Linked DNA regions of Mus musculus. The protein of the gene in region 2 interacts with the protein of the main gene of each other region in a pairwise test. Links are inferred from orthologs where the notes say so. Each region holds a gene or a part of one and is shown on either strand. Other genes may lie near its edges. The genes, in order: Bysl, Golga2 and Tle5.

Region 1 (3,648 bases), on a different chromosome or scaffold from region 2:
AACTCCATTTGCAAGGGATCAAATGCCATCTTCTGATGTCATTAGACACCAGGCACACTTGTGCACAGACATACGTGCAGTCAGCACTCAAACATTAAAAGTAAAATAAACCTAAAACAAACAACCTTGGCTCTCACTGGGTATGCTCTGTGTACTCTCTGGAGCTCTATATAATATACCCTTAGTCCACTTCCATAGCAACTGATCTGTTGCTATGGTAATAATTCAACTACTTTGGTTTATTAGACTCTTTCCCAACTGCCTTGCCAGCTATGTGCGGTATTTCAAAAGTCAGCCCGGTGTATTGGCACATGACTTTAATCCCAGCACTCAGGAAGTACCCAGCCAAGACTCCATGGTCAGGACCTCAGGATGTGGCAGGAATGGCTCAACCCACCTATCACCCAAGTGAGGACACAGAGACCTCTTATTAGTTATGAAAGCTTGGCCTTAGCTGCCTTGTTCCGAACTCGCTGATACAACATAATTGCTTTATACTAGTCTACATTCAACCACGGGGCTCGTTACTGCTCTTCAGTAACAGCACGTGTTTCTTCCTCTGTGTCTGGCTGTTGAGTCCCCTCACATCTGATTTCTTTCCCAGAGTTCCTATCTCTGCCCAGAAGTCCCGCCTATCCTTTCCAGCCCTGCTATGGGCCACTCAGCTTTTGATTAAACCAATCAGAAGGTGATGGAGAAGAAGTTTCCACAACACTGAGACAGGTGATGCTTCATTAAAAAAAAAAACCAATGCCGACTGTACTCAGCTCTCTGCTGGAACAAAGATTAACATGTGAATAGTACACAGGCAGCCTTTACATGGAACACACGGGATTAACCCAACATCAGAAGCTCAGCCTTCAGCACTGTGGTGCGTGTTTGGAAAGTGGAGGCGCGAGAACAAGGAACTCCCAAGTCATCCTCGACTACCTAAGCCAGTAACTTAAATGTGTTGGTTGATCAGAGTCCGAATGCCACTGCCCAGCCTTAGAGCCTTCCAGGTTGGCTTTCCGTTTCCTTTCTGGCTCCTTAGTGCCCAACACTCTAACAGCATTACTTTCCAGGACGTGGAGCATGCTCTTGCTCCCAGACTGCCCATCCAGAGCCTCCTCAGCCTCTGTACTCATCCAAGTGCCTGAGGTGCACACTGCCTCCACCATGGTTTTAGTTTCAGCACATGATGCAGTTCCACTGTGCAAGCAACATAGTGGGAAGTCAGGACCCACAGTGCCTACCTACTGTGGGCACATCAACTCTTCTGCCCCGGTTTGAACTGGGTATAGCAACAGTACCTATTCCTTGAGGTCATCTGGACAGACCAGGTTACATGTGTGTAGTATAGAATGGATCCTTCTTGGTCATTGAGGGGGGACATGTCATCCATTCACTGAGGGGACATGTCATCCAGTCTTTACTGGCCTTATCATCTCTCGCTTCGTGTGCTGTATTTTCTATCAAGATTCCAAGTCTCTGGGGACAAAAGGATAGTCCCTCTGCAGGTGTCCCTCCTGCTCCCTGGGTGTGCTGTACGTGGAATGGGGAACTGACTCACAAGCCCCTGCGGCTGGGATTATCTTGTAGGGCCGGGATTGCCACAGGATGGATCAGATGAGGAGGATGAGGAGTGGCCTACCCTGGAGAAGGCAGCCAAAATGGCCGGGGTGGACCACCAGGCAGAGGTGATCGTGGACCCTGAAGATGAGCGTGCCATTGAAATGTTCATGAACAAGAATCCTCCCGTGAGGTAAGGCTTAAAGGTTGGACCAGTGGGTCCTGGTAGAAAGTTCATCCAGACCACAGCTGTTGGTCTGACCATTGCCAAGAGTGGCCCCTGAACGGGAGTGACCCGGATTCCCCTTTGCCCATCTGATCTGGAACCTCTGGATTACCGGTTCCTTGTGATAGCTGGGGATCCGTTTAGTAGTGTTTATTCTTGGTACGTTACTCTCATAGCTTAGTCTTATTTTTTTTTAAGATTAATTTATTTATGTATGTGAGTACACTGTAGCTGTACAAATGGTTATGAGCCATCATATGGTTGTTGGGAATTGAATTTTAGGACTTCTACTCATTCTGGCCAACCCCACTCGCTCTGGCCCAAAGATTTATTTACTATACATAAGTACACTGTAGCTGGCTTCAGACGCACCAGAAGAGGGCACCAAATCTCATTACGGGTGGGTGTGAGCCACCATGTGGCTGCTGGGATTTGAACCCAGCATCTTCGGAAGAGCAGTCAGTGCTCTTACCTGCTGAGCCATCTCGCCAGCCCATAGCTTAGTCTTTAACTCAGGGTTTTCCATCTCAGTTACAGTGTTGGGGCCAATAGCAGCTATCTCTGACAAAATGTTCCCAGAGGGGTTAAAACTACCTCTGGGTAGAACCACAAACGTACCCCCATGTGTTATAAATGCTACTTCTAAACATGCAGTTATTTAGGCTGCCTGTGGTCAGATTCTTGGTTCCATTCAGATGGATCTGGCCTCATTGAGAGGACTGGGCTTAGGGCAAAGGGGCTCAACCAGTTTATTCTTCAGAGTGGGGTGTAGTACACCACTATCATTAATAGTACGGTGATGAGCAGCTTGGGTTCAGAGAACACAGGAGAACCCTGTCCCCTGAAGGTGTCTGACAGCTCTGAGAATGGTCATGGGGTGTGATGTGCCCCCCAAAGGCTCTCGGGCAGCACCTCATACCCAGTGGCTCTTGATCTGACAAACTTAGCAGAATGTTTTCTGCAGTTGCTATACGGAAGTGACAACATGGTGGAAAGGGGGACCGTGGGCACTCTTGAGCAGTGGCTGCTGGCATCTTCAGAAACCAGGCTAAGGGTCTTTGGGAACACAGCAATCAGGCCTTGTCACTTAAGGCACATTGAAGACGCTGCGAAGCACCCAAACTAGAAGTCGAAAGACTAAAATTTACCCTTTCCCTGAGAAAGTCTTAGGGCTTAGGAGAGTTGTTGGTTGGCCCTGAGTCTCGATTCCCCGGCCTGGGCAGTGCGGGGGAATAAAAGCACCTGCCACCAGTGTCATGCAGACCACAGGACACAAGTCTGGAAAGTGTCAGATTCAGTGCTGCTCGGCACAGAAAAAGACTGCAGAGAAACTTTTTCCCCTTGTGCTGGAAGCCAGAACCCAGGTCTCATCCTTGCTAGGCAAGTGCTGGGTGAGTAGGATAGGCTGGCCTTGAACTCACAAAACTCTGCCTGCCGCTGCCTTCTGAGCGCTGGGATGAAAGGTGTGCACCAGCGCTGCCTGGCACAGAGCTCCACTCTGCACTCAGAAGTTGCTCCCCGTTGTGTGAGCAGTGGGAGGTGAGCTTGAAGTAAACAGCCCTCAGGACCTGCTGGCTCTGGCTGAGAGTCGGGCCTGCTGCAGTCTTAGATTTTACCCTTCAGCTGACTGTCCAGGGGGGTCCTTTTACTTCCCCAGTTTACAGATGAGGAAACTGAGGCTTAGAGGAGTCAAGTGACGGGCCCAGGATCATACAAGGACCAGAAGAGCCGGAGCTGACTTCAGGGCCTAAGGGCCTAACGTCCCCACCACTCTGGCTCTGCGTCAGATGCAGAGACATCCAGGGCCCGTGCTCTGCAGCACTTTGAGGCGGCTAAATGGACATAGAGGGGAACTGAGGCTGTGCATCCCA
Region 2 (3,648 bases):
TCAAAAACACAAGGAAAGTCTTCACTTCTGGACGGGGGGTGGGGGGTGGGGTGCTCTGGTGAGTATTTCCTGAAGGGGAAACCAGAGCCCGGGCTGTGTGAATCCATAGCACAACAAACACCAAATATGTGTCCCCCATTCCCATACACACAATGTGCCATTTCTGAGCTGAGTACTGAGGCCCAGCACCTGAGCAGACTGCAGCACCTGCCCAGCATCAGCTCTGTTAGCGGAAAAGAGCCAACGCCAGTCTGCGAGTCCCCAGAATAACAGGACATGGCCTTGGCTCAGACCACTCCTTCAGTTGGACAGAAGCCTGCTCCTTTTGTTTGGCACATGTCCCCTGGCACATGTAAACTGAAGTACTAAGTTATGTCCAGGAGGCCAACTCTCAGCCCTGCGACACAGGTCCTGTTGCACTTGGATGCTCCGTGTCTGAACTGTGCCTGCCTGTCAGCTCATCTTTCACCATCGAAGCAGCTACAAATGTCCCTTCCCCAGCCTCGAGTCCACTGGGAACCAGCGCTCCTGTCCCTATGTGAGGCATCCTGGAGGTCACGTGACTCTTGTCCTGTGCATCTAGTCTGCTATTGGCTTGAGACTGGCTCTCGAGATGCAGCCCAGGCTGGCTTGGGCTTGCCGTCCTCTTGCCTCAGTCTCTGGAGCGCTGGGCTCACAGGCATGGACTACTGCGCCTGGCTTGCTCATCTGTTTTGTCACTGTTTAGCAAAGTGCCTTTCCTATCAAGAATTCAGTCCACTGAGTTTTCAGAGAGACTGAGGGCAGCTTCTCCTGGTCACTCATTTGTTAGTTAAGTTTACATTTTTCGCAGTTAGTTTCTCTTCATTTTTTTTTTATTCAAGACAGGGTTTCTCTGTGTAGCTCTAGTTGTCCTTGAACTCACTTTGTAGACCAGGCATGGCCACTTCCTCCTAGACTCAGAGATCTGCCTGTCTCTATGCCTTCAGAGTATTGAGAATAGAGGCATGTGCCACCACTGCCTGTTGAGGGTTTCTTAGAAAAAAAAAGTCTTAATCCCAGAAACTATACAATAAATTCACTTTCTCATAACCTTATGTTCCTAAGTTTCAAACTAAAATGAGTTCATAAAAAAGAACCACAAATTTCTATGGTCTAGTTTTTTAGAGACAGATGCCCAGAGGACAAGACCTGAAAGGTGTTTTTGTGTTCCATCTGTCCCAGTCTGACAGTACCATGCTAGGCAGTCATAAACTCTAGTCTCATTCATAAACATCCGATCTGAAAGTTGTTTCCCCAGTTAGCTTTAACTTTCAAGGTGGGTCTCATCTTCTCTAAGATGAGAAATGATACAGGGAAAGAAAAGAACCCAATCAAGCAAGCAGTTGACAAAGCAGACACAGGAGCTGATGGTTAACTGAGGCAACACAAAGTGAGCCAGTGGCAGAGGGTCCCCAAAGCAGGGAGGCCTCTGTGGCATGCATGGCTGGGAGAGCAAGCCAGAGGGAGTCTCGCTCAGTACTGCCTCACCTTCCTCTTGTCTAATGGGGGGAGTGAGACCCCATTGGAACGGTTAAGGTCGGACACCAGCACCTTCAGAATGTCCTTAATCTACAGCAGGCAAGAAGGGAAAAAGGGGGGAGGAGGGAGGAGGGATGAGAGAGAGAGAGAGAGAGAGAGAGAGAGAGGGAGGGAGGGAGGGAGGGAAGGAGGGAGGGAGGGAGGAGGGGGGCAGGGAGGGGTGGGGAAGTAAGAAAGTCAGGGCAGGAAGAAGAGAAACAGTCAGGGAGATGGAACACTCAGGAGCACAGATCAATACCCAGGCCTGTGCCATCCTTCCAAGCAGCCACCTGCTGCCTTGTCAGAGGCAGCCCTCAGAGTAAGCAAGAGTCCCCAAGGGATGGAGTCAATACACCTGACCAATGCAGCAACTCAACATACACAAGACCCTTTCCACACACCCAGGATTACAGGGAGCAATCTGCAAAGGCCCCAGTCCCCAAGGCCACCTTAAAACCTGACTCTCAAATAAGACTTCACTTTTACACAGCTACAGTACAGCTAAAAAGAGAGTCTGTAAGACAATAAGCTAGTCCACCATCATCCTGTCAGATGAAGGAAGTGTGTGTGTGTGTGTGTGTGTGTGTGTGTGTGTGTGACTTTCCTGAGGTAACCCAGCAAGCTCACGACAATGATGGACTTAACACTCAAATCTCTTACAGATGGCTGCGTTTCAGAAGTATGAGAGCAATGATGTTCCCTCTGGTCTGATTTCTACCCCAAACCAAGAAAATCAAGCGGTACCTATTAGCTCACTGTTAACTCCACAGCAGACCCTCCACTAGGGGAATTAATAGAAAAACAACCGCAATAAACTTCACTTAATCTTTATAGATACACATTAAAAATATTACCGCTATTGTACAGCTATGTAAAAAGAGGCTCAGAGAGTTTAACCAACTTGCCCTAAAGTTATCATATTGCCAACTGATGGAGAGATAGAATTCAGACTCAGATTTAATTTTTCCTGTGCTGAGATAAAACCCAGGGCCATTGTGAGATGAGCCCTAGTTCATTACCATTGAACTAGGCAACAAGCCCTCAAAGCCAGACTTTTTAACCAGCACCTGACATTTCCACTTGAACCACAGCCCTCCCCGCTTCTTCCCACCTGCCCCCATTCCACAGGACTCTGTTGGCCAAGACTCACATTCTCTGGTGACTGACAGTCACTGGCAGTGGGTCTCTCTGGGCTATGGCCATTTTTAATCTTTTTCTTCTTCTTTGCTCCTGCAGGAACACCCGGGCTGTTCTTCTGCTGATACTCTCTCAGCTGTGGAAAGGAGAACAGAGAGAAATGAGAGCCATCTGCCTCACACTCACAGCCTCTACTCCAGCCTCTAGTTTATTGAGCTCTTTGCTTCGTGTTTCTGTATGTGCCATCTGAGTCAGTCTCACGTATCCCAGGCTGGGCACTAACTCACTATGTGGATGACTATGAACATCTGATCTTCCTGCCTGAACTTCTAAACGCACCAGGAGCAGGTGCCACCATACTTGGTTTCTACAGTCCTGGAAATCAGGCCTAGGCCCTTGTGCAAATTAGATTACAGAGTGGAATATTTCATGCCTGGTCTCTTTCTATGCTGTTTTTATAAAAATACTTTAAAAAAAATGTACATTGGTGTTTTGCCTGCATGTATTATCTGTGTGAGGGTGTCAGATCTTGGAGTTACAGGTAGTTTCAATCTGTCATGTAGGTGCTGAGAACCAAACCCAGGTCCTCTGGAAGAACACTTAGTGCTCTTATTTGATGAGCCATCTCTCCAGGGCCCGATAAAAATACTCTTATGTACGTAAGTCTCATGTAATGGTACCACGAGTCTACAAGATATAATAATGACCTCTTAATGGCAGAAGAAATGGCATGGCTAAAAAGGTAGTAATTGGGTTGGGAATGTAGCTCAGTGGAATACTTGGCTAGCATTCAAGAGGCCCTAAATTCCATTCCAGCAACATACACACATGCCCATACACATACACACAGAGGCAAACACGGAATCTAAACTCAAATCTTCTGATGCCCTGCTCTGGGGTTTGCAGCTCCCAAAGGGAAAAATCTAAAGGTAGAGACCAGAGAGTAAACATTTAGTTGGCAGGAATTGGCTG
Region 3 (3,748 bases), on a different chromosome or scaffold from region 2:
TTTTTTCTTAGAGAAATCTAAGGGTCTTTTAAAGGTTTTGTCATTGGCTGTGAGATGGCTCAGCGGTTAAGAGCACTGACTGCTCTTCCTCAGGTCCTGAGTTCAAATCCCAGCAACCACATGATGGCTCACAACTATCTACAATGGGATCCGATGCCCTCTTCTGGAGTGTCTGAGGACAGCTACAGTGTAGCTACTTACATATAAAAAAATAAAAAATAAAGGCATTATCATCATTATTATTAGTTTGTTTTCTGAGACAGAGGTTTGCTCTGTACCTCAGGCTAGCCCAGAACGACTCCATTCACCTGCCTGTGAGAGCTGGAAGGTTTTGCCTGTATCCCCAAGCCCACTCAAACCCAGCCTAGGTTAGATGGGGACCCGTGCTCAGCTTTAGCTTTTCCTGCGTCTGTGCTGTACACCCCGGAAGCTGCTGACACCCTGGGCTTCGGGGTGATCAGTTTCACACATGAGGAACCCATTAGAAATGAGAAAAGTATTTGTGGTGGGAGTGACCAGGCTGGAGGGTCTGTGGGACCCTACTCCAAAATTGGACAGAAGAAGGTAGGGCTGTGTGACCCTGAGCCGATTACTCACCCTCTCTGGGCACCCACTCTAGCCTGTGTTAAACATAGGGACTGGGCCTCTAGAACCATGAACGCTGTATGCCTTACTTTCTTCTTCCACACCATGGGGCTGATTGTTTTTGGACACATGGCCTCATGTAGCCCAGGCTGGCCAACTTGCTAAGTAGCTGAGGATGACCTTGAACTGCTGACCCTCTTGGCCCCACCTCCTGAGCCCTGAGATGACAGAGGCACCCCCCACCCGGCCTTCCTTCAAGCCACAGACAACTCTACAGACACATGGAGGTGCCCTGGTCCGGGCTCACCTGTGATACTGCGCTTGCAGCAGCTGGAACTCATCTTTGATGCGGTCACAGGAGTCGGAGGTGGTGAACTTGAGCTGCTGAGGGAGGTGGGAGGAGCCCTGCGGGGGCAGGAGGGTGAGCGGCGTCCTGCCCCGCCCATGCCCCACTTCCTGGGCTGCCAGGAAGGGGCTGTGAGGCCCCTAGGCAGTGGGGACACTTTTACACACTGGTCATTTGGGAGGGGCGGGCACCCATGGGGCGGGGTGCACCTCTGTCCTCCAGATGCTCCCAGAGGAATTCCCCAGAAAGCCCCTCTAAGTCAATCAGGGTGGCACAGGCCTCCCTTCAAAGCCGGCATGGAAGAGGCACCTAACTTACCACCCTACATTTCCTGGGAGTACCCCCATCACACCTGTTTCCTCACGGGTGTGCTCTTCAGGAAGGGACCCCCCCAAAGCTGCCCAGGCCCCAGCCAAAGCCACAGAGAAATCATGGCCTGGGAGTTAGGGAGAGCTGGAAGCTGGGGGGCTGGGGAGCGAGGGGGGTGGGATATGTACAGGGCCGGCATCTGAGGGCACTGGGTCAGGAGTTAGGGTGTAAGATCTCGGATCTGGGGAGCAAGGCTAGGGGCAGGGTGTGGGGAGCAAGGCCACTGGGAGCTGGTGTGGGAGACGACAGATGGGCTTGGACATGAGAGGGACGGAGCCTAGTGCTGGGGGGGCGGGGGGTGGGAAGACTGCGGGGTATCCGGCTCCGGACAAGGGAGCACTGGACATTATACGGGCACAGGGTCTCCCCAACCCTAGTGCTGAGGGTGCAGGATGGGGGCTGGGAGGAGGAAGGCCGCTGGGGTGCGGGGCCTGCAGCTGGAGGAGGGACGCGGAGCCAGGCTGGGGGTGGCGCTGGGCCCGGATGGTGACGCCAGGCCCGACAGGGCTGGAGAGAGAGACAGGGGGTGCGGGAACTGTATTGGGGGGTAGAGGGCACCAGACTTGGGGCCAGGGCAGATCTGAGGTGGAAAGAAGTGCAGGGCCGAGGTGATGGTGGGTGCAGGGCCTTGGACTTGGTGGCAGGCCAGTCTGAAGCTCTTAGAGAGCTGGGCCTGGGGGGGGGGGGGTGCACCGAGGTGGGGATGCAAGATCTAGGGCTGGAGGACATGCGCGTCTGGGGTGAGGGGATGATGGGCTTGTGACTGGGGTGCTGCAGCTCTGGGCCTGAGCCCCAGGTCAGGAAGACAGGCCGAATGCGGCTGCAGTGGGGTGCGGGCTGATCCGGAGCCCGGGGGTGGGGGGTGGGGGTGGAAGAAGACCTTGGAGTCGGGTTGGGCGAGGTGTGGGGGAGGCGGTGAGGGGACTCAGGGCAGGGATCAAAGTTCAGGGATCCGGGCTGAAGGATGCAGTGCTGGACTGGTGGGGTGCGTAGGGTCTGGGTTGTGGGGTGCAAGGACCTTGGGGAAGAGCCCAGGGCTGGGGGGACAGAACAGGCCTGTGGGAGCTGGGGAAGCGTAGGGAGCCCCTGGGACAGGCCCTGGGCGGGGAGAGAGACGGGATCCGACCTAGAAGGGGTGCAGTGAGATGAGCTGGGGTGCAGGGTGAGCGCCGGAGGTGCAGTGAGCTGAGCTGGGGGTGCAGGGAGAGCTCTGGGGTGCAGTGCGCGGGGTTCCCCTTACCGAGTGCCGGCTTTGCGGAAACATCATGTCAGTCGCGGGGGGCGCGGGCTGCGCCCCGGCTCGGGCGGCTCGGGGGGCGCCGGGCGGCCGCGCTTTGTCCCCGATCGACAGCTCCGGGGCCCCGCGTCCCGCCTCCTGCGCCGCCCGCCGCCCGCCCGCGCCGCCCGCGCTATTGTGTAATGGCGACGCGGTGCCGCCCGGGCTCCCGCTCCACCTGCCGCGCCCGGCACTGCGCAGGCCCGGACGCCCCACCCGTGACCTTGGCCCCGCGCGCCCCGCCCCCGCCACGGCCCGGAACCCCAGCTGGAGGCCTGCCTCAGTGCCCCCCGCCCCCAGTCCCAAGGCCACAGACTCGCAGCCTGGACACCCAGGCTTCACGGTGGATTTATGGAGTGCCTACAGTGTGCTATGTCCTCTTTGGAGTCGGGAGGGTTGGCACGGCTGGGGGCCACACTGGGCAGTAGAGTGACACCTGTCCCACAGAGGTAGGATGGGGGCCCAGTCCTGTAATCTAATGACTGGGGTGCAGAGGCAAGAGGATCAAGAGTTCTCGGCCAGCCTGGGTTACCAGAGAGCCTGTCTTAAAACAACAAAAAGTAAGACATGGTTTGTTCTGGGGTACAAGACCTATTACCAGTGCTGGGTAGGTTGAGGTAGGTGGAAGCCAGCCTGATCTACACAGTGAATACAGCCTGGGCTATAGGAGCCCTTATCTCAAAACATGAAAAAGTTAAATCGGGCCACAGGAGGTGGTGGTGGCCGACACCTTTAATCCAAGCACTCAGGGCAGAGGCAGGTGGATCTCTGATTTGAGACCAGCCTGGTCTACATAGAGACTTCTGGGACAACCAGGGCTACAAAGAGAGACCTGTCTCATAAATAAAAGGTAAGAGTTCCCCAGGTCCTAGTGTGATCCCAACACTTGGGAAGCTGAGGCAGGAGGATTATCGAAAATTCAGCATCAACCTGTGACCCAGCTTACTGAGGTGAGACCTGTCCAAAAACAAAACAAAACAAAACAAAAACAAATGATTAAAACAAATATGCTGGTGTGGTAACACAAGCCTTTAATCTAAGCCCTTGGGAGGCAGAGGCAGGCAGATCTCTGTAAATTCAAGCCCACCTTGTGAGTTCCAGGGCAGCCAGGGCTCCATGAGCCCTGTCTTAAAAAATAATAAAAAATAAATAGGAGCCGGGCGTGGTGGCAC

The links.
Region 1: the proteins of Golga2 (region 2) and Bysl interact in binary tests that used the Homo sapiens proteins (3 or more experiments, as listed by UniProt). The two-hybrid records come from large-scale screens. The link is inferred for Mus musculus from reciprocal best matches to the Homo sapiens genes GOLGA2 and BYSL.
Region 3: the proteins of Golga2 (region 2) and Tle5 interact in binary tests that used the Homo sapiens proteins (3 or more experiments, as listed by UniProt). The two-hybrid records come from large-scale screens. The link is inferred for Mus musculus from reciprocal best matches to the Homo sapiens genes GOLGA2 and TLE5.

Annotation. Positions count from the first base shown.
Region 1 is NC_000083.6:47,604,935-47,608,582, reverse strand, and holds part of Bysl (bystin), read left to right. Parts: intron 1-1,581; coding exon 1,582-1,744; intron 1,745-3,648. UniProt on the Homo sapiens protein: Required for processing of 20S pre-rRNA precursor and biogenesis of 40S ribosomal subunits. May be required for trophinin-dependent regulation of cell adhesion during implantation of human embryos.
Region 2 is NC_000068.7:32,291,257-32,294,904, reverse strand, and holds part of Golga2 (golgin subfamily A member 2), read right to left. Parts: intron 2,813-3,648; coding exon 2,690-2,812; intron 1,591-2,689; coding exon of another isoform or gene 1,510-1,590; intron 1-1,509. UniProt on the Homo sapiens protein: Peripheral membrane component of the cis-Golgi stack that acts as a membrane skeleton that maintains the structure of the Golgi apparatus, and as a vesicle thether that facilitates vesicle fusion to the Golgi membrane.
Region 3 is NC_000076.6:81,558,461-81,562,208, reverse strand, and holds the start of Tle5 (TLE family member 5), read right to left. Parts: upstream 2,766-3,748; 5' UTR 2,568-2,765; coding exon 2,541-2,567; intron 991-2,540; coding exon 893-990; intron 1-892. UniProt on the Homo sapiens protein: Transcriptional corepressor. Acts as a dominant repressor towards other family members. Inhibits NF-kappa-B-regulated gene expression. May be required for the initiation and maintenance of the differentiated state.